Linked DNA regions of Canis lupus familiaris. The protein of the gene in region 1 interacts with the protein of each later gene in a pairwise test. Links are inferred from orthologs where the notes say so. Each region holds a gene or a part of one and is shown in the gene's direction. Other genes may lie near its edges. The genes, in order: XIAP, NEK6, CKS1B, UBE2W, ERCC3, NTAQ1 and CASP10.

The links.
Region 2: the proteins of XIAP (region 1) and NEK6 interact in binary tests that used the Homo sapiens proteins (3 or more experiments, as listed by UniProt). The two-hybrid records come from large-scale screens. The link is inferred for Canis lupus familiaris from reciprocal best matches to the Homo sapiens genes XIAP and NEK6.
Region 3: the proteins of XIAP (region 1) and CKS1B interact in a two-hybrid assay, tested with the Homo sapiens proteins (3 studies listed by BioGRID and IntAct). The two-hybrid records come from large-scale screens. The link is inferred for Canis lupus familiaris from reciprocal best matches to the Homo sapiens genes XIAP and CKS1B.
Region 4: the proteins of XIAP (region 1) and UBE2W interact in a two-hybrid assay, tested with the Homo sapiens proteins (2 studies listed by BioGRID and IntAct). The link is inferred for Canis lupus familiaris from reciprocal best matches to the Homo sapiens genes XIAP and UBE2W.
Region 5: the proteins of XIAP (region 1) and ERCC3 interact in binary tests that used the Homo sapiens proteins (3 or more experiments, as listed by UniProt). The two-hybrid records come from large-scale screens. The link is inferred for Canis lupus familiaris from reciprocal best matches to the Homo sapiens genes XIAP and ERCC3.
Region 6: the proteins of XIAP (region 1) and NTAQ1 interact in binary tests that used the Homo sapiens proteins (3 or more experiments, as listed by UniProt). The two-hybrid records come from large-scale screens. The link is inferred for Canis lupus familiaris from reciprocal best matches to the Homo sapiens genes XIAP and NTAQ1.
Region 7: the proteins of XIAP (region 1) and CASP10 interact in binary tests that used the Homo sapiens proteins (3 or more experiments, as listed by UniProt). The two-hybrid records come from large-scale screens. The link is inferred for Canis lupus familiaris from reciprocal best matches to the Homo sapiens genes XIAP and CASP10.

What each region holds. Positions count from the first base shown.
Region 1 is NC_049260.1:96,096,813-96,100,312, forward strand, and holds part of XIAP (E3 ubiquitin-protein ligase XIAP), read left to right. Parts: intron 1-53; coding exon 54-120; intron 121-1,216; coding exon 1,217-1,259; intron 1,260-3,500.
Region 2 is NC_049230.1:58,759,089-58,763,311, reverse strand, and holds the start of NEK6 (serine/threonine-protein kinase Nek6), read left to right. Parts: upstream 1-1,423; 5' UTR 1,424-1,534; intron 1,535-4,223. UniProt on the Homo sapiens protein: Protein kinase which plays an important role in mitotic cell cycle progression. Required for chromosome segregation at metaphase-anaphase transition, robust mitotic spindle formation and cytokinesis.
Region 3 is NC_049228.1:42,484,136-42,488,274, reverse strand, and holds the start of CKS1B (cyclin-dependent kinases regulatory subunit 1), read left to right. Parts: upstream 1-1,339; 5' UTR 1,340-1,437; coding exon 1,438-1,496; intron 1,497-2,902; coding exon 2,903-3,030; intron 3,031-3,841; coding exon 3,842-3,894; 3' UTR 3,895-4,139.
Region 4 is NC_049250.1:22,894,820-22,899,031, reverse strand, and holds the start of UBE2W (ubiquitin-conjugating enzyme E2 W), read left to right. Parts: upstream 1-1,412; 5' UTR 1,413-1,419; coding exon 1,420-1,521; intron 1,522-4,212. UniProt on the Homo sapiens protein: Accepts ubiquitin from the E1 complex and catalyzes its covalent attachment to other proteins.
Region 5 is NC_049240.1:24,666,747-24,670,750, forward strand, and holds the start of ERCC3 (general transcription and DNA repair factor IIH helicase subunit XPB), read left to right. Parts: upstream 1-1,204; 5' UTR 1,205-1,336; coding exon 1,337-1,355; intron 1,356-1,658; coding exon 1,659-1,864; intron 1,865-2,505; coding exon 2,506-2,742; intron 2,743-4,004. UniProt on the Homo sapiens protein: ATP-dependent 3'-5' DNA helicase/translocase. Binds dsDNA rather than ssDNA, unzipping it in a translocase rather than classical helicase activity. Component of the general transcription and DNA repair factor IIH (TFIIH) core complex.
Region 6 is NC_049234.1:22,159,734-22,163,233, forward strand, and holds part of NTAQ1 (protein N-terminal glutamine amidohydrolase), read left to right. Parts: intron 1-2,749; coding exon 2,750-2,849; intron 2,850-3,500. UniProt on the Homo sapiens protein: Mediates the side-chain deamidation of N-terminal glutamine residues to glutamate, an important step in N-end rule pathway of protein degradation.
Region 7 is NC_049258.1:10,201,323-10,204,822, forward strand, and holds part of CASP10 (caspase-10), read left to right. Parts: intron 1-1,356; coding exon 1,357-1,510; 3' UTR 1,511-3,500. UniProt on the Homo sapiens protein: Involved in the activation cascade of caspases responsible for apoptosis execution. Recruited to both Fas- and TNFR-1 receptors in a FADD dependent manner. May participate in the granzyme B apoptotic pathways.

The sequences.
Region 1 (3,500 bases):
ATACTTTACTGATTTATCAGCTACCAAAGTTTAACCTTCTTTTAATTGTTTAGGTGTAAATATCTGTTAGAAGAGAAGGGACAAGAATATATAAACAATATTCATTTAACCCATTCAGTGGTAAGTCACATATTGTAGAATATAAAATATTATTTAATTTGTTTTGCAATGATTTCTTGGTGTAAAATTCACAGTATAGTATCTTAAATTAATAATGTATGGTGGGCTTTAAAGGGGAGATCTTGAAGAATGCTTGTTATTTCTTTTTTTTTTAATTTTTTTATTTATTTATGATAGTCACACAGAGAGAGGGAGAGAGAGGCAGAGACACAGGCAGAGGGAGAAGCAGGCTCCACGCAGGGAGCCCGACGTGGGATTCGATCCTGAGTCTCCAGGATCGTGCCCTGGGCCAAAGGCAGGCGCCAAACCGCTGCGCCACCCAGGGATCCCGAATGCTTGTTATTTCTTAACCTGAAGTAGCTTTGTGAAAGAGGAATCCCCATAAGCTGATTGATTTAACTCACTGTAAATAAAAATGGGTTTGAAGAACTAAAATACTTAATCCCTCAACTTTCTGAAATTAGACTTTTGTATAATGTGTTTTATACTCATAAATAATTGTGAACTTTCCAAAGGCAATATTTTAAATCTCAGAAGCGTGTCTAAATTGATGGCAGCCTGGGATGGCTAAGGTATTGGTACCATGTGGGAAGAGCCATGGACTAGAATGGGAAGCCAGAGTTGTCATTTATGGCTCTACCATGAGCTCCCTTGCCTCAATCGAGTTGTTTAAACTCCCTGAGACTCAGTGCCCTGTCTATAGAGTGAGTGGATTGTGTTAGATGATCTTTTAACTTCCTTCTAGTGGGGATCCCTGAGTGGCTCGGTGGTTTAGCACCTGCCTTCAGCCCAGGGCGTGATCCTGGAGTCCTGGGATCGAGTCCCACATCAGGCTCCCTGCATGGAGCCTGCTTCTCTCCCTGTGCCTGTGTCTCTGCCTCTCTCTCTTTCTGTGTGTCTCATGTATAAATTTTAAAAATCTTAAAAAAAAAAAACCTTCCTTCTAGCTTCATCAGGTTATGCCTCTTGCAAACATTCATATGTTGAATTGGAATAAAGCCAATTTATAAATTCATGATTAGTGTAACTTTTCAAATTGAGGTAATCATCTTCTACCAAAAAGAATTCTAACTTATAGTCCATATTTCTATTTCAGCTAAGAACTGCTGAAAGAACACGGTCATTAACTGAAAGAATTGGTAAGTATGTACATTAAAATAAATATACTTTTAATTTCATTAGCAGTTTATTACAGTTGTTTTTTTATAGGGTAGAGACATAAGCTTATTTTTTCAAGATAATCAAAGTAGATTTATTTGAGATGAGATTGCTATAAATTTAAGGATTAGGAAGTGCCTATAAATTTAAGTCAGTTATAGGTAGCTGGGTGGCTCAGTGGTTGAGCCATCTGCCTTTGGCTCAGGTAATGATCCCAGGGTCCTGGGATCGAGTCCCACATTAGGCTCCCTACAGGGAACCTGCTTCTCCCTCTGCCTATGTCTCTGCCCCTTTCTCTGTCTCTCATGAATAAATAAATAAAATCTTTTTAAAAATTTTAAGTCAGGGCAGCCCAGGTGGCTCAGTGGTTTAGCACGGCCTTCAGCCCAGGGCGTGATCCTGGAGACCCAGGATCGAGTCCCATTTCAGGCTCCCTGCATGGAGCCTGCTTCTCCCTCTGCCTGTGTCTCTGCCTCTGTCTCTCTTCTCTCTCTCTGTGTCTCTCATGAATAAATAAATAAAATCTTTAAAAAAATTTTTAAGTCAGATATTTATATAGTAAGAACATTCATGTGACTCATGTAACACTGTACATTAATTGTACTGGAAAAATTTAAATTATACTAAATTATATTATAAGTTATATAATTATATACATTACATAAAATGATACTAATTATAGTAAAGTAAAAATAAAATTTTAAGAAAGGACATTCCTATGGCGGTTGTGCAGTTAGCTTTTCCAAGCTTAGGAGGAGCAGCTATAGGCTGTCCATTGCCATTTCTGTTAAAATCCCCAAAGGAAGAGAGATAAGTGTATTTTTGTCCCAGGTACTTCTTGAGTTAGCCAGGACCATGAATCCAGTGCTGTACTAATGTGCCATCACCATGGTCGGCCCTACCTGCTTCCTTATCCCATGCCATTCTTGAGCCTCCCCCAGTTTCTTCACAGAGGGGCATGGTTCAGTTTATCTTCTCTTACCTTATAGAAAGGTAGAGATTTTTATCCCAAAGATTATTTACTCATCATAAACATCTTTAAAAGCCAGAAAGATACCAGGATGCCTGGGTGGCTCAGCGGTTGAGCATCTGCCTTCAGCTCAGGGTGTGATCCCGGAGTTCCGGGATGGAGTCCCACATCGGGCTCTTTGCATGGAGCCTGCTTCTCCCTCTGCCTATGTCTCTGCCTTCTCTCTGTGTCTCTCATGAATAAGTAAATAAAATCTTTTTTTTAAAAATCCAGAAAGATACTATGTTAAGCAAAGATGATATTGTTATCTCCACTTTTCAGATGCTGAAACAGAGACCAGGAGGTTAAGTGACCCGCCCACAGTTACATTTACAAATCATTAGTGGAACTGGGACTATTAACGGGGTCTTCTGAAATCTGCATCACACTGTGGATCTCATTTCCAGCTTAGGCATCATGTTTCAAAAATAGTAGAAAGTGTAATTTAGAATATGTCTGCTGATTCCCCATTCCTTATACCATCATCTTTTTGGTATCTTAAGGGTTACAAGACAAGAGAAAACTATAAGTATTCATAAATATACTTAAGAAGGAGAGCCACTTTGATAATATTTGATACAGATTTTGAAATGGGCATAAATAATAAAGTTTAAGAAATCATTTATTGGGATGCCTGGGTTACTCAGTGGTTGAGCATTTGCCTTCAGCTCAGGGCATGATCCTGGGTTCCGGGATTGAGTCCACATTGGGCTCCCTGCAGGAAACCTGCTTCTCCCTCTGCCTGTGTCTCCCCCCCACCCCCACCCCGTTCTCTCATGAATAAATAAATAAGTCTTTAAAAAAATTGAGATATGAAAAGAAACAATAATAAAATAAAATTGAGATGTGTAATTCATGTAGCAAAAATTTCACCCTTATAAACTGTACATTTTAGTGGTTTTTAGTAAATTCACAAGGTTGTGGAACAAACCATCACTGCCATTTAATTCCAGAACATTATTATAATCCCAAAAAAGAAACCCTGTATCCATTAGCAGCCACTCCCCATTGCTGCCCCTTCCCCCTCAGCCTCCAGACAACTACTCATCTACTTCTATCTCTCTGGATGTACCTATTCTAGACATTTCATATGAATGGAATCATAATATGTGGCTTTGAAGTTCATCCATGTTGTGGTACTTATACATGATTACTTCATTCTTTTTTTATGGTAGAAAAAGTTTCCTTAGTGTAGATAATACCATGTTCTGTT
Region 2 (4,223 bases), on another chromosome or scaffold:
AACACTGCAACACACTGTCTCAGAACTTCTATTTATTTCTATCACTTTCTGAAACGCTTATTTCTTGGAGTTACCTCTTCAATCTATCTGATATCTGTTGTGATGCGTATCATGTGAAGTGAGACTGTAAGTAGGTCCCCGACCAAACCGCTAACCAACGTGTAGAATGACCTGTTCTGTCCCTGCTGGTTCACGGCAAGGCTGGGACTGGGCTGGGCCGTCTGTGCCAGCTGTCCCCCGTGCCCTCTTATACCAGCAGTCCAGAGCTATGTTGTTTATGAGGTGGGACTGCCGAGACTGGGCACTGGAGTTAGTCTGTGCTGTGGTCTAGCTCCCTGCTCAACCCTTACCAACTGGGTGACTTTGAGCAAGAGAACTGGGCTCTCTCAGCTTCTGTTCTAAACCTCATTTATCTTATCTGTAAAACGGGCATGAAAGTGGCATAACGCCTCCTTCGCAGAATGGCTGTGCGGTTGTGAGTATGACACCTGGCGGGGGTCCTACGGGTGTCGTTACTGTCACAGGTCGCAGCCAGGTGGAGCGCCGGGGGGTCCTCTGCGGGCTCGGCACGGTGCTGTCACTAAGCTGGACAGCCGGCAGGTGGTCAGTGTCAGTTCCTGGTTCCAGGCGTCCTGGGGGGACACCGCACGGTCCTGCCTGTGGAGGAGCAGCGGCCGATGCAGGAGGCGGGAGCTGAGCGAGCCGGCCCGGAGCCCTTCTTGGGGGAAGGGGGCGCGCAGGTTCCCTTAGGAGGCCAGCTGCAGCCTTCGGGGCCCCATGGAGACTCTGTCTCCTTAGAGAGGGTGTTACCCACTCAGTAGGGCCTTCTCCCGGAAACCTTTGCACCTCGACTCTCCCTATCTCGGGGTTCACAGGCATTGGGGAGCTCCATATAAGGAGACGCTGGCGCTTTGAGGGCAGGGGGCAGCACCTTCAGCAGGCGGAGATGCCCTTGGAGCTTCCTCCTAAACGTGCGCCGCATCCAGTAGGCGCGCAATAAGAGCTGATTGGCTACCCAGGGTGCGCAGGGCCGTGGAGGGGGCCGCGTCGGGGGGTACCCAGGGATGCGGGGGCGGGTCCCCGGTTCGCTGAGTGCGGACCCCAGCCCTGAGCGTCTAGAGCCCGGGGACTAGGGGTGAAGGGGGGTCTGCTGGCGCCGACTCGCCGGCAGGGTCTGGGCCTCAGTCTCCCCATCTTTGGAACGGGGAGGGGGCGCCTGGGCTGCGCGGACGTCTCGCGGCCCCGGGGGCTCCGGGCGCCTTGCGGTCTCCCCGGGGCGCCCACGGGCCAGCGTGGCGGCCGCGCGGGAGCGAGCGCAGGGGGCGGCGCGGGCCCGCGGCGGGGAGGGGCGGGAGCGCGCGGGCCCGCGGCGGGGAGGGGCGGGAGCGCGCGGGCCCGCGCAGGCGGCGGCGGAACCGGGCGGACGGGCGTGCGGCCGCGAGTGTGGGACCCTCCGCTCCGCCCCGCTCCGCCCCGCTCCGCTCCGGCCGCCCGCGCGCCGCTCCTCCGAGGCAGCCGAGCCGCCCGCGCGCCGGTGAGTGGCCTGGGGCCGGGCCGGGCCGGGCGGAACCGGGCCGGGCGGGGGCGGGGGCGCGCGCGTCGCGGGGGCCCGGCCGGTGGCGTGCGGGGCCGCGGGCGGGCTGGGGCGCGGCGGGGCTCCCGCGGGGCCGAGCGCTCGCGGGGCCCGTGCCGTGGGGATGGGGAGCCGTGCTCCAGGCTCCGGGCGTGCGTGTGTGCACGTGCGCGAGTGCTCACGAGTGACTTCTGGGCGCGTTTGGGAGCCTTTGAGGACAAAAGTGTACGTGTCCGTGCACGCGAACATGCACCCTGCGTCCGGGAGGGTGTGAATGCGTTTCTCACGCACGCGGGCGGGCACCTCCTTGCACCCACCAGGCGGCTCCCTCCCGGGTGCCAGGGAGCCCGCGGAGGGAACTAGGCCCGGGGTGGGCTCCCGGCGGGTGCGGGGCCTCGCGCGCCGAAGGGGGGCGGAGGTCAGACCCGCAGAGCCAGGCTGGGCCCCGCAGACGGGGAGGCCTCCTTGCCGGGCCTCGGTGGGGCCCCAGGATGCTCAGGCTGGGCTGCGGCTCTGCTGCGGCGGGCAGGGCTCCTCGGCCTGCTGCTAGAGGACGCGGCCTCAGTTCTTCCTGAACACCCCCCTCTGGGTCCCTTGGCTCCTCTTCTTCCGGTCTCTGGCCCGGGCAGATTTTCATCTTTCCCGCGGGCCTTGGGGGGTGGGGATGGGGGACGGTGACCCTGGGAAGGCCAGGGGTGCCAGGACACTTGTCTGTGTATCTGAGGGTCTCTCGCCCTGTCTCTGCCTGCTCTGTCGACTAGATGCGTATTCATCTGACTTATTTACTTGTTGAGCCTGGGCTCCAAGCATGAGCCCCCAAGACAGTAACAAATTGATCACAGCAGGCTTGGGACACTGATTTCCAAGGTCTGTCTGCGCAGCTTTGACACAGTTTTGGGGGGAGCTTTAGAAATGTTGAAAATCTCTGCAGTCAGAAGGCTTAATTGGGGATCCCTGGGTGGCTCAGCAGTTTGGCGCCTGCCTTTGGCCCAGGGCGCGATCCTGGAGTCCCGGGATCGAGTCCCGCGTCGGGCTCCCGGTGCATGGAGCCTGCTTCTCCCTCTGCCTGTGTCTCTGCCTCTCTCTCTCTGTGTCTCTCATATAAATAAATAAGTAAACAAACAAATAAACAAATCTTAAAAAAAAGTCTCGATTGCTTTAAGGGCAACTTCAGAAACACTGAACTCCCTCGTCCCCCTGAATTTTCAAAACTCAGCTAGACTTTCTGAGGAGAAAATGTCGTGCGCAGGCAGATCTTGGAGGCACATTTAAAAATCGTGGTGTTAATGGAAGAAGAATTTCATTGAAAGGGATGCAGAGCGGCTGGAGGCGCCTGTTCCCAACGCAGCAGCTTACTGAGTGAACTTTGGACGTCTTCTTTTAGCAAACAAAACCTGGAAGGAAACAAAAAAGATCCACATTCTTTTTCTTTTTTGTCCTAAAAAGAAATGAAAAAAACAAAACAAAACAAAACCCAACCCACCTTCTGGGTTTGCTGGAAAGGCTGCCTCTTCTTCTCCCCTCAAGGCCAGGCCCTCCCTCCATCCCCCACTCCCCAAATAAAATATGCCTGTGGGGAGCTGTGGATGAGTCACTCCCTGGCAGAGAGCCCCACGGGCAAACATTTGGGAAGGTTCTTGCCTAACTTCCCAGAAGAAAAGGCCCAGGATTTAAAATGGTCCCTGTGGTTTGTCAGCCTCTGCCGTCCTGTCTGCTTCGGAAATGACTAAAAGTAGTTTCTGTCTTCAGAAAATAAAGTCTCAGACTGAAGCAGTGGCCCAGGTTGGTCTGGGCTCTGAGCCATTTCAGATCATTCGGGTTTCAAGAATCGAAGCTCCTGGCTTTGCCAGGTGACGTTTCCAGTGGCTTTGAGCGAGGAGGGGGCAGGGGAAGGGCAGGGGAAGTCATGCTTACGGAGCACCTACTGTGTGCACTTTTAATCCTCCTAGTAGTTGTGGGCGCAGAGACACAGAGACCTGTGTCTCTGTCAACCCTGTGTCTTGGGACTGCTGAGAGGAGGTAGAGGCAGAATCCTGTCACCTCCCTGACTTCCAGTCTGCCCTCCACACCAGGGGCCTGATAACTTGTCTTCTGAAGGTGCACAGGCTGGGTGCTCGGTGCTTTCACACACATCTACTCATTTCATCTTCCCCATGAGGTTGGGGGTTGTCATCTCCATTTTACAGATGACCTAACTGAGGCTCAGAGAGATGGAATACGAGGCATAATTTTATGAAAGTAGCATCACAACTAATGGCCACCATTTGTTGAGGGCATCCCATATGCCAGGCACGAAAGCTGTAAGTACCTAAATTCACCCAGTCCACCCGGCAGCACAGAGACAGAACTATCATGGTGCCCATTTTACAGATGAGAAAACTGGGGACACAGATGAAATCATGTGCCAAAGATCACAGGATGCTGTGCGGTTGAAGTCAGGCTTGTCTGAGCAGAGCCCTCCATCTTTCCATTGGACGTAGAAAGTAAAGGTCACTGTGTTCCAGGTTCTTGCGGGGCCAGGTTCCTCACCAGGCTCTGGGCTTCTGGGAGACGTCTTCCCAGAAGTGCTGCCCTCCTTCCTTGTCTACTCTTGCCCCTCGGCGGTGGATGACCCATGCCTAGGGCCAGGACTGTCAGATAGAAAGGGCTG
Region 3 (4,139 bases), on another chromosome or scaffold:
CCAAAAAACTAAACAAACAAAAAAACTCAAACAGCAAAAAGGCCACTGTCCCCTCCACCCACGCCAGGCCACCGTTTCCAGGCAGCAGGACACTCTAGCTCCTGGTGCACCCGCAGGTTGCACGCCAACCTCACGGCCCTACCAGCTCCCGAGGTGCGGGTGCTAGCCCTACAGCTGTCTCTGGGGCGGAGTCTGTCCTGGGCTGGGAACCCAGGAGCAAGTCTCTCGGCCCCTTTGGCGCCAAACCCCAAGTCCAGGCCCCTCTCCGCGGGGCAGGGGGAGGGGCAAGGGAGGCGGAGGGCGGCCCCTGACCTCGCCCGGCTCGCCCCACCTGCTGGAGCAGAAGCACTGGCTCCGCAGAGCTGAGCCCCAAGCCCAAGGAGAAGAGAAGCTGTGTCAGCAAGGGGCTTCGGGACTACCACAGCGCTCCGAGGGGCGGAGCCCGCCCCACTCTGGACGCTGCCCAGGGGGAATGGGCCCCACATCACGGGTACCGGGCACTGTAAGAGGCGAGGCTACAGCACCGCCCGACGCCATCAGGCGGGGGGCGGGGCCTCTCGGAAGGCGTAGCCTCTGGGGCGGGGCTGCCGGCACTCGGCCGGGCCTCGGAGGGGCGGGGCTCTGGCCTCCTGGGGGACCCGTCGCCAGAAGGCGAAGAATCGGAACTCAGAGAACTACCGTCAGGTTTCTCACAGTCGGACTTGGAAGCATGTTCGGGGGTGGGACTTCCAGGAAAGCTGGGCAGCAGGGTGGGGTCGTGGACAATACACAGAAAACAAGTCGGGGTTCGGGGAGCCCCCTGAAGATGGGGGTGGGACTTCCGGGGAGGGGGGTCTCAGGGGGCGGGACTTGCACATGAAGACCGGAAGTAGGGTCCCGGGAGAGGGGTTCCGGGGTGGAGGAATGGGTCACCTTAGGAGAGGGAGAAGACCTAACTCACCAGGGCCTCATGGAGTCTCCGCACCGCACCGCGGCTCGATTTGGTTCCGGATCACGCCACTGCCTCCTTAGGTCGCCGTTCCAACTTTCTCCCCGGCCTGGCCTCCCTGAAGAAACTTTATTGCACTCACTTCCGGCCTCACTAACCCCTGACCCTCTACCTCAGCGTCCCTCCTTCAGCCGTCCCACTTTGCCGAATCAGCCAATGGCAATGCGAGAACGCGCACGGGGGCAGGAATAGCCAATTAGAGGCATATTTTTTCCCTACGCTCATTCTTGACTAACGTAAGCAGCGCGGTCCAATAAGGACTCGAACAGAAGCAAATCTAAACCAATCGGCGGCTTGAAGGTGGAGTAGTCCCGCCTTAAACCATGGGGTCCAATAGGAAGCGCGGGCGGCGTGTTTGAAAGCTAGGCCAAAGTGGGTGGGAGCGCGTGCTGCTGGGAGTTGTTTGGAGGTTGCCGGAGTGGGCCTGACGGTCCTCAGGCTGAGTGATCATGTCGCACAAACAGATTTACTATTCGGACAAATACGACGACGAGGAGTTCGAGTACCGGTTAGTGCCGCCGCGGGGGCCATAACGAGGTCGTGAACTTTGACAAGTGAGGGCAAGAGGAGTTAGTCACCGGGGCTGAAGCAACAGGACCGGCGCATGCGCGGGGGACTCCCGGGGCGCGGGCGCGGAGCGTAGCAGGGCGCCTGCGCGAGGGCCTGGCGGCGAGAGGGCGCGGACAGCTGCGGACCGCAGTGTGTCCCGCGCCGGGGAGCGGGCGGAGGGGGCGTGCCTAGAGCTCGAGGCCTCCGCACCCCGCACCATGCGGGGTTCTGGATCGTTCTGGGAGCTTCCCCGGGCACGTGGAGGTTGCCCGCTGGGGCGTGCTGGAAAGAAGTGGCCGCAGCGGTGCTGAACGATCCGGGAAAGGGGGCGCGGGCGTGCGGCTCGTGGGAAGGTCTGACCCGGCGACGCAGCGCCGCAGGCTCGGGAGTTGCGCCCGGGCACGGTGTGACGGAGGCAGCGCCGCCCCTCCAGGAGGAGTACCAGGGAAGAGCGAGGATGCTGCCCGCGTGCCGTTTTGGCTTCTTCCTGGAAGAACGTGGGATGGAGACTTGGCAGGCTTGCGTTTCCTTCCCGGCCAAGTGCGGGGCTCCGGGGACTCGGCGTGTGCTGACCCTTGGGGGACCCAGGCCACTTAGGTTTCTTTCCGCCGCTGACTGTGCGCTGCCACCTCTGCAGAGCTAGTTTCAGCTCCCCGAAGTTGTAAGTCCGGGCGCTGGCGTTGGGGGGCGTCGGTCGGGTCCGATTAGGGATCGAAGACGCTGTTTGTGAAAGAATTTGCTACTAGTACACACCTACTGTGTTTTCCCTGAGCATGATGGGGTCTATCTGGAGTAGCCCAACTCAGGTGAGAGTAAGGATTTTTTTTTTGCCATGAAAGGAGATTTATCCTTGGTTAGGAAAACCTGGGGTTTCCCAAGAGGAGTCTCATGGCAACTCTTTTCAGAGTTGGGAAAATGAAATGGAGGGTACATTTCAGAGGAGAAGATATTCACATTTCATCCTTGTGATGGCTCTTCCTCACAGCGCTCCACAAGAGGCCTTTCTTCTCCACAAAACCAGCCGTTTTCAAAACTACCTTTAATAATTAACGCTGTGAGTGTCGTGGGGCTGCCCTTAGATCGTTCTAATCAGCTAGCAGACTGAGCTGGAGGAAGGCAGGGGCGCGGTGTCCACAGCGCCTGTTCACTTGAGTTACTCACGCGTGCTTTTTAACATACTTGGGGGGACGATTTGCATAATCTGGCCTTTATTTCTAGCTGCCTCTGCCCCATGATAAGAGTACATAAACTCTCCCATTGGGAACCAATTTTTTCTTTTCTTTGCTCTCTTGGCTTTGTACACAAGCATTTGTCTAACACAACTGCACCCAGTACTGATGTGATCCCTCCGTGTTTCTGTTACAGGCATGTCATGTTGCCCAAGGACATAGCCAAGCTGGTCCCTAAAACCCATCTGATGTCTGAATCTGAATGGAGGAATCTTGGAGTTCAGCAGAGTCAGGGATGGGTCCATTATATGATCCATGAACCAGGTCGGTGCGATGGCTGAAAACAACCATTTAGGGCTCCTTGGCTGAGGAAAAGAGGAATGATAAGATGGTATAACCCAAAGAAATAGAGGTGAGGGTGGTCTATTGGTTCCTCACCAGCCACCTAGAAAAATCAGAGTGATGGGATCCCTGGGTGGTGCAGCAGTTTAGCGCCTGCCTTTGGCCCAGGGCGCGATCCTGGAGACTCAGGATCGAATCCCACGTCGGGCTCCCGGTGCATGGAGCCTGCTTCTCCCTCTGCCTATGTCTCTGCCTCTCTCTCTCTTTCTGTGTGACTATCATAAATAAATTTTAAAAAAAATTTTTTTTAAAAATCAGAGTGACAAAAAAGAGTCAAGTACTGGGAAGTTCAGAAGACAACCTGTCCCTGAAAAAACTCTTTCAATCTCTAATTCAGTCTGAGCATCACACACACACACCCGTCACCCTTTTTAAGGCCACAAACACCCTGGTAGAGGTTATGGATCCTGCATCATTCTCCATGAGAAAGCAAATTCTCAGATGTGTCCCAAATAAGCCAAGGGAAGTATATTTCTTGATAAGACACCAGACCCACAAGCAGCCAGGCAAATCTAATAAAGGAGGTGGGCAGGGGATGGGGGGGCTGTACAAACACAGCAAAGGAACTGATGCTAATAGTTCTCTGCTTAGCAGACAGGCCCAGCTTTAGGGTCTGCTTCTGAGGCCATATGCTTACATCTTAATGTAGTTCTAAAGGTCTGAAATGGGAAGGGGACGCACTACACACTGCAGAGACCAGGGTGAGCGTGTCTCTTCAATGTCACTCTTTCAGAACCTCACATCTTGTTGTTCCGACGGCCACTGCCCAAGAAGCCGAAGAAATGAAGCTGGCAGCCACTTTCCAGCCTCAAGCTTTACACAGCTGTCGTCGCTTGCTAACATCTTCCTGATAACATCATTATGTTGCCTTCTTGTTTTCTCACTTTGATATTTAAAGGATGTTCAGTACACTGTTTGTGCTGCTGACTGTTTTGCTTGAGCAGAGCCAACAGCACCATGGCCCGGCCAGTTGAGTGCTCTTTGGGCTGCAGCCTCAGCTGAGCTGTGTACCCAGCAGAGCACACTTGGTA
Region 4 (4,212 bases), on another chromosome or scaffold:
ATGTATCAGCCATCTAAATCTTTAAAAGATAGAACACGAGATGCAAGCCTCTGGCTTCCATTTTATTCTTTTTTTAAAAAGATTTATTTATTTATTATTTATTTATTTATGATAGAGAGAAAGAGAGAGAGAGAGAGGCAGAGACATAGGCAGAGGAAGAAGCAGGCTCCACGCAGGAAGCCCCACGCGGGACTCCATCCCCGGTCTCCAGGATCGTGCCCTGGGCCAAAGGCAGGCGCCAAACCGCTGAGCCACCCAGGGATCCCCTTCCATTTTATTCTTAACCAATGACAACTGAAGTTGTCGAATAGCTTTTTTTTTTTTTAAGATTTTATTTATTTACTCATGAGAGACAGAGAGAGAGAGAGAGAGAGAGAGAGAGAGAGAGGCAGAGACAGGCAGAGGGAGAAGCAGGCTCCATGCAGGGAGCCCGACGTGGGACTTGATCCCAGGTCTCCAGGATCACACCCTGGGCTGAAGGCAGGTGCTCAACCGCTGAGCCACCCGGGGGTCCCTGGCATAGCTTTTTAAAAGGTGGCTTCTGATAAATGTTGGCAGAACTGGTGCATTCCAGAAAAAATTCTGGATGCTCACCTCTCCCTACTCAAATACATCCCTAGGTCAAATGACCACAGAACTGCCCACCACGAAACAGGCTGAAGCCAAGTCCAGATGTGACAAAAGGTGTCAAGTGTATACTACAAAGTGCACAGATCCATCAAAACAACAAAACAAAACAATCGCGTCTAGGGTCAAATCCCTACACAGATGTGAATGCCGTAACAACCTAACTATTACGGATACCCGTTTAGTTTAAAACCGAGGGGCTGGTGTAAAGGGGGAAACAACAGCACACGAACCAAAGAAAAACTTTAAAAATGTCTCTTCCCTTTCGGGCAAGTTTCAGCTCTACAAATCCACCCTGGCCCTTAGAATGCCAACGTACTGTTTTGCTCTCCGTCCTCATCCCATTGTACAACGACATGCGTCTTTCTCCCCCGACACTGGGAACACGAGAAGCCTTCCAGACCGTAAAGAGTAAAAGGCAGCCCCGCGGGCAGGGGAACCGCGCCCCAAGGTGTGAATATGGGCCTGGCGCGGTGGAGAAGACGTCCAAGAGCATCTTCCAACCACACCACCAGCGGTTGGAAAAACAAAGCAAAAAGAAAAACCAACGGGGCTGGGCATCATCAAGATGTTAGGGTAAACAGAGAAAAAAAAAAAAAAAAAACCTACGGCCGTCGCCAGGTGAGGCCCGGCGCGGCGGCGAGGGAGCGCGGCCGCCGGAGAGCGCGCTGGGCCCGAGGGTACCAACAGCGCCATTGACCGCGCTCCCGCCGCCCCTCCCCCCGCCGGGGCGCCAGCCAATCCCCTCCCGCCGTCGCCTTCCCACCGGAGGCCCCGCCCCCGGCGCCCAGGATGCTGGGCCCCCGCGGCGTGACGCGAGCACGGCGGCTCCGCCCCCTGCGTCTCTGGCCTCGCCGGCCTTGGGGGGATGGTTCCATCATGGCGTCAATGCAGGTGAGAGGAGTTTGCAGCATCTGGGCGGGCGAGGGAGCCGCCGAGAGGACGCAAGCGTTTTGTCGGGGGCGGCGTCCGGGACTCTGGGGCACCCGGGCGGGTTCGGGAGCGGCCCTGGTGGCCAGTCCTTTCCCGGCTTCAGGACGTTGGGGAGGGGTGCGAGGCGGCGAGAAGAAGGGCGGGGGAGGGGGGGGTCCTCGGGCGGTCGAAGCGGACACCAGCCGGCCGGGAAGTTGGGGGATAAAGAAGGCTGAGAGGAGGAAGGGGTGAAGTTTGGCGTTGGCGTGGCGGCAGTGGTCTCGGGTCGCCTCTCGCTCACACTGACGCTGGCCTGCCCGCCCGCCCCGGGGATGCCTTCCCCGCGGTCCCCGGCCGGGCGGAAACAGCTGCTCTGGCCGTCGTCGCTGGGGCAAGGGCGGCCCGGAGAGGGGCCGGGGGCGGGGGGGAGCTGAAAAGGCGTTCCGGGGACGGCGGCCAGCTGCAGAAGCGCCTCGCGGCCTCTGCTCAGGCCTCCCACGCCCAGCTGCTCCGACCGCTCGGCCCTGCTCTCTTTGACTCTCACTCCTTTGCCCCGTGGGTACCTTCCTCTGTTAGCTTTCGCACCCTCTGCGAACCTTAGTGCGGCAGCGCACTCGCTCTCCCGAGGCTGCCCTTGGCCCTTCAACATCATTTGCCTCCTAAGAGGCAGTCTCCCCGAGATCTGAGTCACTAGCCCCCTTATACCTCCGGGATGGCTCGCCCTCAGATTTTTTTTTTTTTTTCTTTCCCTGCGGTGCCCCACCCTTGTGGTCGCGGTAAAGCTCCAGCCCTTTGCCCTTCTTCCCTAGATCTTTAGTGGAATCTTAGTTTGGTAGGAGGCATTTATTAACCTGTGTCATAGCTGCCTGACTTAGCAGTTCATGGGTTTCTGGCTTTCCAACTTAATATGCTCCTTTTTTTCCAGATCCAAGGAGTTTTGTTTTTTTGTTTTTTTGTGGTTTTTTGTTTTGTTTTGTTTTTTCTTTTTTCCCCCCAGGCAAAGATGGCAACCACCACTGCAGTTTTGTAAAGATTGACTCTGCTTTATCTATAGCCTGCATTTAATTTTACAAATGAAGACTAGCTCTGATGAGAACACCTAGGGAGAGAAGATAGAACTGTTGTTTGGAGTGGCAGCTGAGTGCTTTTTAGAGTTTTAACATCTTAAAGAGACCCACGTTTTTCTTAGGATTCAGTGCTTTTGTTTCTAGAAGAATAAGCAAATCTTCTTATCTTCCCCCACCCTCTGTTTTTGGTTTGTTTTTCATTTCTAGGCGAGAACACTTTTTTCTTCTCTTTTCTGCATCTTCCTCTTTTGCGTACATACTTGCTTCACATTTACTTTTGTGCTTTTGTGTTATCCCCTTTCAACCAGTTTTCCATGCGATATTCTATTTACCGTTGCTGCTGCTTCTGGACTTTCCTGAAGAATAGAAAAATGTCTAACTTTCCTACTTGAAGGGATGTCACAAAACGGTGCAGGGAAAAAACAAGAACAATTTGAGGAAACATTATACTTTACACTGGTCTCCCCAGAGACGTTAGAGAGGTTTCGTCATTTGAGGCCAAAAAAGGAACTGTGGAACACTAGTTGAACAGTAGATGGGCTATATGACTAATTTAAGATAGTTTGTATTAAGATTAAAATAATTTGTTTCAAGACTAAAAATTATGGTTAAACCCACAGCACCTGTGATTATATTTAACAAGACAATTATAGGGATAACTAGTTAGCTGGTTAGATGTAAACTTTGAGGGTCTGAAAAAACAAATTTCCCGGTTTAAGAGAAAAAAGTGAATACAGAATTGGGTCAGTGCAGGACTTAATGTTGATAATCTTGAATTTTACATGGTGACTTGAGCAATGGAAAAAAAAATATTTGCCACTGCAATAAGTGGAATTTTCTGTGTTTTAGGTATTTTCCCACTGCTTGTTTGTATTTTCGAAATATCTGATACAGATATTTCAGATACAGGTTTTCTGACAGTACCTTGAAAAATAATTTTAATATAGATAAATCAAGCTTTTCGAAATTCAGTACTGGTTTCTGTGTGGTTATTCCGTCTTTGGTGAATAAAATTTTTCCTGACCATCTTTATAGCAAAATGTTGTGTTAAAGATTTTATTTTATTTTTTTTTTTAAGTAATCTCTGCATCCAACCTGGGGCTCAAACTCACAACCCCAAGATCAAGACTCTGCTCTACCAACTAAGCCAGCTAGATGCCCCTTAATAGCAAAATTTCACTCTTTTCAAAACAACTGGATTTGTTTATTTACTCAATTATTTTTTAAGGGCCCTACTGTGCTACTAATCAGAGTGCTAGAGATAGAGCAGTGAACAAAAGTAGACAAGGATTTCTGCTCTGGATACAATAGTCTAGTTGGGGGAGACAGATAACCAAATACTTAAGTTAATTGCATATTATATTAGAAGGTGATAATGCTATGAAGGGAAAGCATGGAAGGAGGTTAGGAAATGGATGTTTTGGGGATTTCAGTCAGAGTGCTTAGGAAAAAGTATACATATGCTGCTCTAACCATGTCCTTACCTAAAAAGTTTTCAGATTTCTTTATCTTACGCCAGGTCGTCAGGATGTTATCGCGGCTGAGGAGATTACTGAAGCTATAAGAACTATTTTAAAGACATACAAATTATAGAAATGTAATATAA
Region 5 (4,004 bases), on another chromosome or scaffold:
AAGAAAGCAAGAAGTTGGTAATCTGCAATACAGGAAGAGAGCAGGACTTAGATCTGGGACTTCCATCCTCCAGAATTATAGGAGAATAAATTTCTATTGTTTGTCATACAGTCTGTGGCATTTTATTCTGGGACTTGGTAGACTAATGCAGCCACTCCAGTTCAGAATGTCCCAAACCACCCTTCAAACCTGTGCCTTCTTTAAGGTACATCATTTTTTCAGTTGCTGAAGCCAAAAATCTTAGTTATCCTTTACTCCTGTCTCTCACTTTCCAAACCCAGTCAGCAATTCCCACTCTATCTAAAAAATACATTCAGGCTGGAACCACTGTTCATCATCTTTATCCCTACCACCCTCATAAAGCCGGCCTTTCTCCACTAGAGAGTCGCCATCGCTGCCCTTGGCCTTGTAGAGGCTATCCTTGACACAGCAGCTACTGTGGGCTTTTTAATAGTGAATCAGATTTTCTCTGCTCAAAAGTCTCCAGCAGTTTTCTATTTTGTAATGAAGCCCAGAGTTTTGTGCATGGCCTACAAGGCTCTACATCAGTGGTTCTCAAACCTGGCCATCAGTATCGAGTGGAGGTCAAGGCTGTTGTGCCTCTAGAGTTTTGGGGTAGGGCTGGACACTTTGCTTTTGTGCCTCTCTCCTCAGTTTGAACGTTTCTGTTCCATGTTGATGCAACCAGGGGACCCCACTTTGAGAACCACCAACCTGCATGCTTGGTGCTGGGCGCTGGGTCTCGCCCCCTGCTCCTCGCAGCCACAAGCTCCCTCAGCTTCTTCCCATCGGACGCCCAGCCCGTGAGGTCCAGTCCTAGGCTCACACAGCTCCTCCCTGGGGATTTGCGGAGGACACTGGCTCCCTTTATCAGAACCTCTGCTTGAATCACGCCACCTGAGAGAGGCACTGCGGGGGCTCCCCGCCTGGACCGGCCCTGCCACTCTGGGCCGGCTTCGCTCCTCCTGGAGCTCCTCACGCTGCAACTGTTCATCGCCCCCATCTCTCTCAGAACTCGAGTTCCGGGAGGCCAGGGGCTCCACTTTGCTCAGTCCTACCCCAGCAGCTAAAGACAGCGCCTGCACGCTCATACTGATGATGCTCAATAGATATTTCAACGACCAGAGGAAAGAACGGGTGGGGGAGGGGCCCGAAGCCGAACACTCAGAAGGAACCTCAGCGGAGAGCTCGCTCGCGCCCGCCCGGACCCCGAGCCCGGAGGCGGGACTTCCTGCGCGCCTGCCGAAAGGGCTTCCGGTGCGCAGCGGAAGTGAGAGCCCTGAGAGCGGCCGCCGCCAAGACCCGGCGGCGCAGGCCGTGTGCCGCTACCGCTGCCATGGGCAAGAGAGACCGCGGTGAGACGTGGTGCGGGCGCCGTGGGGGCCGTCCCCGTCGGCCGGTGGCGTCGCGGCCCGGCTTCTCCGCGGCCGCCCACCCCGCCGCATCTCGCGGCCTGTGCACGCTGCCGCGACCGGCCGCGGGGCGGGGCGGGGCGATCCGGACCCCAGGTCGCGCCGGGTGGGAGGCCTCGCGGCGGGAGGACGCCGCGGGAGGACGCCGCGGCACGCAGCGGGCCCCGGGCTAGCAGGGCGTGGCGTCGGCGGAATGTGGTTGCTGCCAGGTTTCTGTCGGGCTCACTTCTGTGCCCGTGTCTGCAGATAAGAAGAAGTCCAAGAAGCGGCACTACGAGGATGAAGAAGAAGATGAAGACGACGTCCCCGGGAACGAGTCCCAGGAGGCGGTGCCCTCGGCGGCCGGGAAGCAGGTGGATGAGTCCGGCACCAAAGTGGATGAGTACGGAGCCAAGGACTACAGGCTGCAGATGCCCCTGAAGGACGACCACGGCTCGAGGCCTCTCTGGGTGGTGAGCATGCCTCAGCGAGGGCAGGACTGAGAGGCTGTGGGCCCAAAACAAATGCGGCTACTGCTCCGCAGAGCTGCTTGGGAGAGAGTTTCTTGCATACTGTGTGGGGGGCCCGCGGTAGGAATGAGCAGGTGGGGCAGCACGTGCTGGCTGGACTTGGGCCCGTTCATCCCCAGCCATTCCTCTTACTCCTCTTCCTTCCACCTAGACCGCATGCGTGGAAATACTTTTTTTATTCACCGGATAAATGCCGTTTATTATGTAATTTTTTAATTCCCCATTTAAAAAATTAATAGAAACTTTGTATTTGCTAGGTACCACTTTTGCTCAACTTGAAGTAATTAACACTCTACATTCTTTTGAAACCTGGCCAGAAGGTACATTGAGGGTAGCCCATCTGGTGGGCTTTCCCTGCGAAGAAAACGAGGAAGCAGCTCCTGACTTTGGAAACCTGTTCTAGTCTCTGCATTTCTTGTTTGTGGTTAAAGTAACAGGTTTCACAGTTGGCTGAAGCAGTGCTTACACAAACATCCCTGGTGTTTAAGATCACTTCTGGGGCAGCTTGTCCTTTCTGAATAGTGCTCTGGGAAAGAGTCATTAATTAATTTCTTTGCCTCTTGTGTCCATTTGGTGTTTCTTAGGCTCCTGATGGCCACATCTTCTTGGAAGCCTTCTCTCCAGTTTACAAATATGCTCAAGACTTCCTGGTGGCGATTGCAGAACCAGTGTGCCGACCAACCCATGTGCATGAATACAAATTAACGGCCTACTCCCTGTATGCAGCTGTCAGTGTTGGGTTGCAAACTAGTGACATCACTGAGTACCTCAGGAAGCTCAGCAAGACGGGTGTCCCTGATGGAATTATTCAGTTTATTAAGGCAAGTGGGGGCTAAGGCCAGCTCTTTTGCCTTCCTTGTTAATGCAGTAATAGTGGGCACAGATGCTACACGTTGTCAGCCTATGGCAGGTGTGAAAATGCCATGTGGTCAGCACACCTAACTGATTACCCCAGCTGCTCCTCTTCTGGATCCAGCTTGGTATGCTTGCTGAGGCCACCCTTCCCATGAGCTGCTCCAATACAGTGGATACTAACACACTTGGGATACTAATTCAGCCCTTCTGGCCAGGACTATTTGGGAATGCAACCAAAAGTGGATGGTGTTTTGGACTGAATTGTGTCCCCTCCAAAATTCAGATGCTGAAGCTGTGACCCCTGACACAACTGTATTTGGAATGAGGACGTAATTAAGGTTAAATGAGGTCATAAGAGTGGGGCCCTGATCCAGTAGGATGAGCATCCTTTTAAGAAGAGTTAGCCAGAAAGCTCATGTGGTCTGTTTCTCTTTGTGCACAAGGAAGAGGTCATGTGAGCACGTGGTGAAAGGGTAGCCAGGAAGAGAGCTTTAACTAGAAACTAATCACTGGCAACTTGATCACGGACTTCTAGAAATGTTTCTGTTGTTAAATCACCCAGTCTATGGTGTTCTGTATGGCAACTGAGTAGACTAATTATAACTGGTAGACTATCTCAGGCTGAATGCCTATATGGGATCAATGGCTAACAGTTTCTGTTTGGGAATGTGGAAAAGAACTTCCAAATGTTGAAGTGCATAAGGTTCCATATGAAGAGCAGTTGAACACGCTTGGGTTTGTCCTGAGAGATGGGCGAATGCCATTCAGAAGAGATAGACGGGGACTTTTGTTGCCCTTGGCTGATCTAAAGGGAGTTGGATTCAGACCCCCAAACCTAGAGTGGCAGGCAAGTGCCACAGGCATCCGGCACACTAATGTATCCAAACTCAGAGAAGCTGACAGGAGCCCTGGTGAGAATCTTCTCTTGTGCTGTGGGGAGGGTACCCAGGGAGAAGGGCTTGCACCTTGCTGGGAAGAACCCTGCATCAGCACACTAGCTGTGCTCAGTGTTGGCTGTGAGCTGCCTGCAGGAGTATAGATACAATGCAGTAGTCGATCCAGAAGGGAAGCAGCAGGGGCAGCCTGAGATCTGAGAGTTTTCTTTTCTTTTCTTTTCTTTTCTTTTCTTTTCTTTTCTTTTCTTTTCTTTTCTTTTTTTTTCTTTTCTTTTCTTTCTTCTTTCTTCTTTCTTCTTTCTTTCTTTCTTTTCTTTTTTTCTTTTCTTCTT
Region 6 (3,500 bases), on another chromosome or scaffold:
AGGTTTTTATAACTTGGAATAAGTGCCTCCTCTCTGTGTCTTTTAGCTTCTGTCAGATGTTATTTATCTGTTCAGACCCAGCTGAGTGATAATAGTGGTAACCAGTATTTGTGTGGCACTAGGTGGTTTGCAGAACATGTCTGATTCTCTTTGTACTCTTCAGATGTTGGTTGAGCTCCTCCTGTGTGCCAGGGATCCTTACCTTCATGCTTCTCTGATCTCAGCCCATCACCAGTAATCCTTGCAGAATCTTGACCTTAATGCTGCGTTGTTAGTTTTTCTGCTACAACAAAGTAATCAACCAGTAGGTTGGAACGTTATTATCACAATCCCCCCCCCCCTTTTTTAAAGATTTATTTATTTATGATAGGCATAGAGAGAGAGAGAGAGGCAGAGACATAGGCAGAGGGAGAAGCAGGCTCCATGCCAGGAGCCCGACATGGGGCTCAATCCCGGACTCCAGGATTGCTCCCTGGGCCAAAGGTAGGTGCCAAACTGCTAAGCCACCCAGGGATCCCCCCCCCTTTTTTAAAGAGGTGCTAGGATTCATACCAAATCTGGGTTTCTTCCTATTCCACCAGTAACCCCAGCATTTCCAAGTATAAGTACCCCCCTCAACCTTTTAAAAGTAGGCTCCATGCCCAGAGTGAGCCCCATGCAGGGCTTGAACTGATAACCCTGAGATCAAGGCCTGAGCTGAGATCAAGAGTTGGATGCTTAACCGAATGAGCCACCCACCCAGGTGTCCCCAGGCCCCCTTTTTTTAAACATCAAGTTTCTTGAGATCCTCCTACATGTTATTAATTGTACTCTTGGGAAAAAAATTGATAATAAAAAGGGGCTACAAATTCAGTGACTCTTAGTTTAAATTTTTATTTCTCTTTGTAACATTCACACATATTTGAAAGATAATAGACAAAGTTTGTCCAGCCACGTACATATTCAGCCTGCCAACAGTACTTGGGGTACACACAGATTCTTAAAATCTTTGTGTTAACCCTGTGCCCATCCTTAGGCCTGGGGGAAGGGCAACACAAGGAGAAACCCCTGACCTATATGCCCTCCATCTTCCTGTGCCCCTCAAAATCAATGACGCTTCCTTCTGTGCATCTTTTATGGCCTTCTATGATGCTTGCTTATTTATGGATCTGTATGTCTTCTCTCACTGTCTGCAAGCTCTAATTTATCATTACATTCTCCAACCACTTAGCATGGTGCTTTTATATCATGGGTTCTTGATGTCTTTGATCAACTCAAGAATGTCTAGAGGCTGGACAGACATGTCTTCTAAAAATGTGGTCTTAGAACATCCAGGGTTTTTTTTTTTTTTTTTTTTTAATTTATTTATGAGAGACACACACAGAGAGACACACAGGCAGAGGGAGAGGGAGAAGCAGGCTCCATGCAGGAGCCCAATGTGGGACTCGATCCCGGGTCTCCAGGATCACGCCCTCGGCTGAAGGCAGCGCTAAACCACTGAGCTACCGGGGCTGCCCAACATCCAGGTTTTTTAAAATGTAGCTAATACACGTCATATGTCATGTTGAAACTGTACCTTTTTGCTTACCCCATACTACATAGCCTATGGAAGTAGTAGCAGTTTCCTGTTTTTACCTCTGCCACTACTTTTTCTGTTAAGATTTCTTAGGTATCTTATAGAAAAAAATCATAGGAAAAAAATACACTTCATTTCGGTGCTTTAAATGTAGTCGTGCAGGTAGACAAGGTCAAAACTGCATTGAACGTGTGTCATAAAATGGTGGTAGTCCTTAGTGCCGTGTATGCCTTACTTTATTTTCAAGTGGCATAGTGTAGGTGTTTGGAAATTAGACTTTGACAGTTGAATCATGAGTATGAGCAGAGTGTTGATGCAGGTTGTTTTGAACGAAGGTGCTATGTGCCTCATTGAAAAAAAATAATCCAGGGGCTGAGCTGTGAATACTGCCAGCAGTGAATGTTTTTACCTGTGTGGGAGTGTGCCTGTGGCCACCAGTGTGGCTTGGTTTGATGCACTTGGCATTGCTTAGGTGGTTCTGACTACTGTTTTAAATATCTAAAGGCCTGTCATAGAGACATTTATCTGGGGCTGAAATATAGGAAGGTGGATTTTAATTCAGTATGAGAAAACTTTCTAAAAGTCAGGACCTCTGTTGTACCAGAGGGATGTAGGGAATCCCACTCAGAGTCTCTCTCCAAAAGAATTCCTAGGCATATCATGTAACTGCCCTCAGTCCTTTCCAGCCAGAAGCCCTCCTACCCAAAACATTATTCTTGCCCCTTTCCTAAGGGGAGCAGTGAACCAATATTAACTAAGATTTTTCAAGTGTTTAAAATATGATTATCCTCATTTTACAGGTAAGAAAAGTAGATACTCAGGTCAAGATGTTCAAAGCTTCTTACCTTGTTTAAGTGGCTGAGTTGGAATTCCAGCTGTGTCTCGAGTCACTGGACCCAAAGCTGTGGAGTATTGATGTAGCATTTTATCAGTTATAAAATGCCTCCATTTGCAAACACTGCTGGGGCAGGTAACAACTGCTGTGTTTGGAGAGAGCTCAGCACACAGTATAATTTGGGTAACACTTTGTTGGGGATATTTTAGAGGAGGGTCAGGCATCAGCTAGTTATTGAATGAGGTGGTGTTTAAAATCTCTTCCAACTTTTTAATATCCTCATCAGTCTTCTGTTCAAATTTGAAAGACACAGAGAGTCATTGTATAATTATGTTGATGAAACTATTATTTTATTTCAGTGAAGAAAATATCTGGAAGCTCTGTGAATACATCAAAAACCATGACCAGTATCCTTTAGAAGAGTGTTACGCTGTCTTCATATCTAATGAGAGGAAGATGGTAAGTTGGTGACTGATTGCAGAAAGAGAACAAGAGATTTAGGGTGATAGTAGAAACTAAATATAATATATGGGGTCAGTGCTGTCCTAACGTGCTTTATAAAATAAAATAACATTTTAAAGTTTATTTTTGAATGAGATTTTTTTTTCCCCTCATTTCAGGGCACAGTTGAGTTAGAAAAGTTAAGTCCCTTATTTGTAGGTCAAGAAATAGATGATGGTGTATTTACACAAGTTAAAGCTTTTTAAATTCCTTAGACTACAGCCATGTACTCTCAGGTTTGAAGTAAAGATGTTTTTGTCTCTGGAGTTTAAATAAAATTATGATAAACTTACATGAATTATTAAAAAAGCAAACCCTTAAAAAAAAGCCCTTAATATTTTGTAAAGCACCTTTTAAATTTTTTTTTAAAGATTTAGATTTTTAAGTAATCCCTACACCCAATGTGGGGCTTGAACTCACAACCCCGAGATCAAGAGTCACACACGCTACCAAATGATCCATCCTGGAGCCCGTAAAGCACTTTTGTAAGCATCATGTCATGCTAATGGAACCATGATAAAGTAGGCAGGGTTCAGATGGCTGTTTCTGTTTTATAAAGGAGGAGATAGAGACTCAGGGAGCTCCCATAACAATCTGGGAAACTAAGAC
Region 7 (3,500 bases), on another chromosome or scaffold:
GGTACTCTTATAGTCCTTATTTTAGGGCTTAGAAAATTGAGGCACAGTGAATTGTGCCTGTGGCGCACAATCATCAAGGGATGTAGCCAGGCATGATTCACAATTGAGTTCCATCTCCAGAGAGCCTGTGCTTTGCTCTCAAGTATATGAATGGCCTACTCCTGGAACATTTTGATAAATGCTAAATATCACTCAAGCCCAGGCTTCTCATAGAGAAGACTCCTCTATGGAATCATCTCCCAGCAGGAAGTGCTCTTTTTCCTCTGAACTTACAATGGAACTTTGTCCACTTTTTTTTTTTTAAAGATTTTATTTATTTATTAGAGAGAGTGATGAGAGAGAGCATAAATAGGGGGAGGGGTAGAGAAAGGGGGAGAGAGAAACCTAAGTAGACTCCTCACCAGTCAGGGAGCTTCATGTGGGACTCCATCCCAGGACCCTGGGATCATGACTTGAGCCAATGGCAGATGCTTAACTGACTGAGCCTTCTGGGGGCCACAAAAGAAGGGGATTTGTCCACTTTTTATATGGTGTTGATCTTCTGCCTTGTATTAGTGAATTTTGTGTATATGCCATACTTGGTATATGCTTCATATCTGCATTTGAAGTGTTTAAGCTCAGGAACTGTGCCATGTGTATCTTTGTATCCCTCCTCAAACCAAGAATGGAGAGGGAATTATTAATAGTAGTGTCCCTCTCCATCTTCATCACCTACTTATCTATCTATCTATCATCTATCATCTATCCACCAGTTTGGACGAGAAACTTGAAAAAATAATTAAATGCAAACATCCTTTGTGGATCAAGTGCCTTAGAATGTAATATGTGAGGTCAGAAGAGCATGAGACTCTTTTAATTTACTTATTTTTTAGATTATTTATTTATTCATGAGAGACACAGGGAGAAGGGCAGAGACATAGGCAGAGGGAGAAGCAGGCTCCTTGCAGGAAACCTGATGTGGGACTCGATCCCAGGACCCCAGGATCATGACCTGAGCCAAAGGCAGATGCTCAACCATTAAGCCACTCAGGCGCCCCAAGTGTGAAGCTCTTGATCTCAGGATCATGAGTTCAAGCCCCACATTCAGTGTAGATTGCTTAACAAAAAGAAAAAAAAATTAAAATGCAAGATGTGGCTGGTATAGTGTTCTTAAATGCTAAATATAGAACTGAACAGCTTCATTTGATTTTGCATCTCTTGTTTTAATTTTGACATAAGCATTTCTTTATATTTGGCAGAATTCCAGGGGGAATCTTGGCCTATTAAACTGGGAAGAAGCCACATGGTTTAGGGTTCCTTGCTATGATGTGCTTTCTGTCTCCTGATTGAACATGTTTTTTTCTTATCTGCCTGCAGACATGAAGATATCTTATCCATCCTCACTGCCGTCAACAATGATGTGAGTCAACAAGCAGACAAACAAGGAACGATGAAACAAATGCCCCAACCTGCGTACACACTACGGAAGAAACTAGTATTCCCTGTGCCACAGAAAGAACTTTTATTGTAGTAGACAGTTTGACTCTTTGACTTGAAAGGAAGCTTGGTTCATCATTCCATTCTCCCGCCCGTCATAGGAATCAGAGATAGATGGGGAGCTGGCCTCTGTCTGTCCTCCTAACAATAGGAAATTCCCTATTTACTGACACAGGAAATTCTTTTTTTTTCTTCTTTTTGACAAGTCTGAATGTTAGAACACTTTCTTTATTGAAGCCTTGGACTGTCGTCTTAGCTGGAGTTGTGTACCCTGAGAAATGCAACTGGTCTTGGTTTGTGAATCCCTGAAGTAAAGGGTGGAAGCAGGTACACTTTAAGATTAATTTGAGCTCTAAGAACCACTGTTTTTAGCCTCAACTGGGCTTCGACTTCTTTTCTACATGAACACCCCTTGTTGTCATTCTGTGTCTCCTCTGCACGACTTTGTTTTGGACATTGGATGATGATAGAGATCATGCATGGTTCATTGACCTCTGCTCTCCCCTTCCTAAGGCTTCTCTTCTGCACATCTGCTTAGGTGAGAATTTGCTCTATACGACACGCACTTACCACTTGAGTGTAAGGAAGATATTCCTGCAGGAACTGTTTCTCTTGGGCCGAGAACATCCTTGCTCTAGGATGACTGTATGAAAAGAGACGCACTGAGCCACTATGAGAGCAGAGACTTTACCACCTGAGGTTAAATCCTGTGTCGGTCAGAACCTTTCAGATGCCGATGACGGAACACCCACGTCAAACCAACTAAAGCAGAGAAGGGAATATCTTGTTTCCTTCATCTGAAAAGGAAACACAGATGGGTAGTGCTGGCTGCACATGAGGTTCGAATCAGGATTCAGTCTGCACCGTATAGCATGTCTCTCTTGGCCAAGGGTTCTCTTGGTGGTTGCACTGTGCTGACAATGGTCAACAGCCCCTGCCTTGTGGCCCAACACACTTGCTCCTCTGGCCCAAAGGATTGAGGAGAGAGGCAGCCAGAGAGTCTAAAGCTGTTCACAGGGAATGTTGTTCAGTCCTTAATCAGACGGTTGTCGGGCTGTGCCTTAGAGGGTGTGGTTCGATATGGAAGCCTTGATACTTTTTACATTAAGGTTTTGAATATCTTTATTTATGTGAACTTACTATTTTTTTCAATTTCAAGAGGAATTTTTTTCAGTTCCTGAAAGAGGGAGGTTGAAAGCCCTGAACTTAAAGCCTTAATTTATAGATGCAGATTTTTTTTTTTGAAAACAGGGAACTTTAGTATAAATAAGAGGTCCTGGGGGACAAGGAGGGTCCTGAGGGGCTTCCATAATTTAACACTCTTCAAAGGCACAAACAACAGCAGGGGCAGGGTGGGGGCCAGGGCGGGGATGGACCACTCCCACCCTGCCCACAGGATGAGGGGCACATTGCAGAGCTTGTGGGTGGGGAGCTTTTCCCCCAGGAGTGACCAGTCACATGCTGGGGACAGAGAAGAGGTGAACACTGATGTTTCAGAGGAAGGGGTCATTGTATTTGGCAGTGGGTGGGGACAAGGCTGAGGCCACATGGGCCACTACATTCCCCCAAGTGTCTGGGCCAGTCTGGAGGCAAACTGATTTGCTGTAGTCCTCCAGACAGTTATTGTTTACAGGATTTTATTTCCCCACTTGAGTAAACCGGAATGTCAGAGGACATAACAGGGGTTTAGGAACATTTCCTGGTATCTGCTGGTGCTCATGAAAGATCTAGGGAATGAAGAAAAATAACTCTCAGTGATGCCTGATTTTGTAATTATTAATGTGAAAGTTAAATTAATTTATGGTATATTTGCTATGAGAAATATTCAGAAGTTGTTTTTTTTTTTTTTTTTTAAATATAGTAGTTACGTGGAATTGAATGTAGTTTGAGGAGAGGAGTCTAATACATGTCAGGGTGATCTTCCAAAACCATTGTTTATACAATCAAAGCTAATAGCTCATGATTACAGTCTTTGCCCAATTAAATATCACAGATCACCTCTGGCCATTTCATAGTGCTTCTCT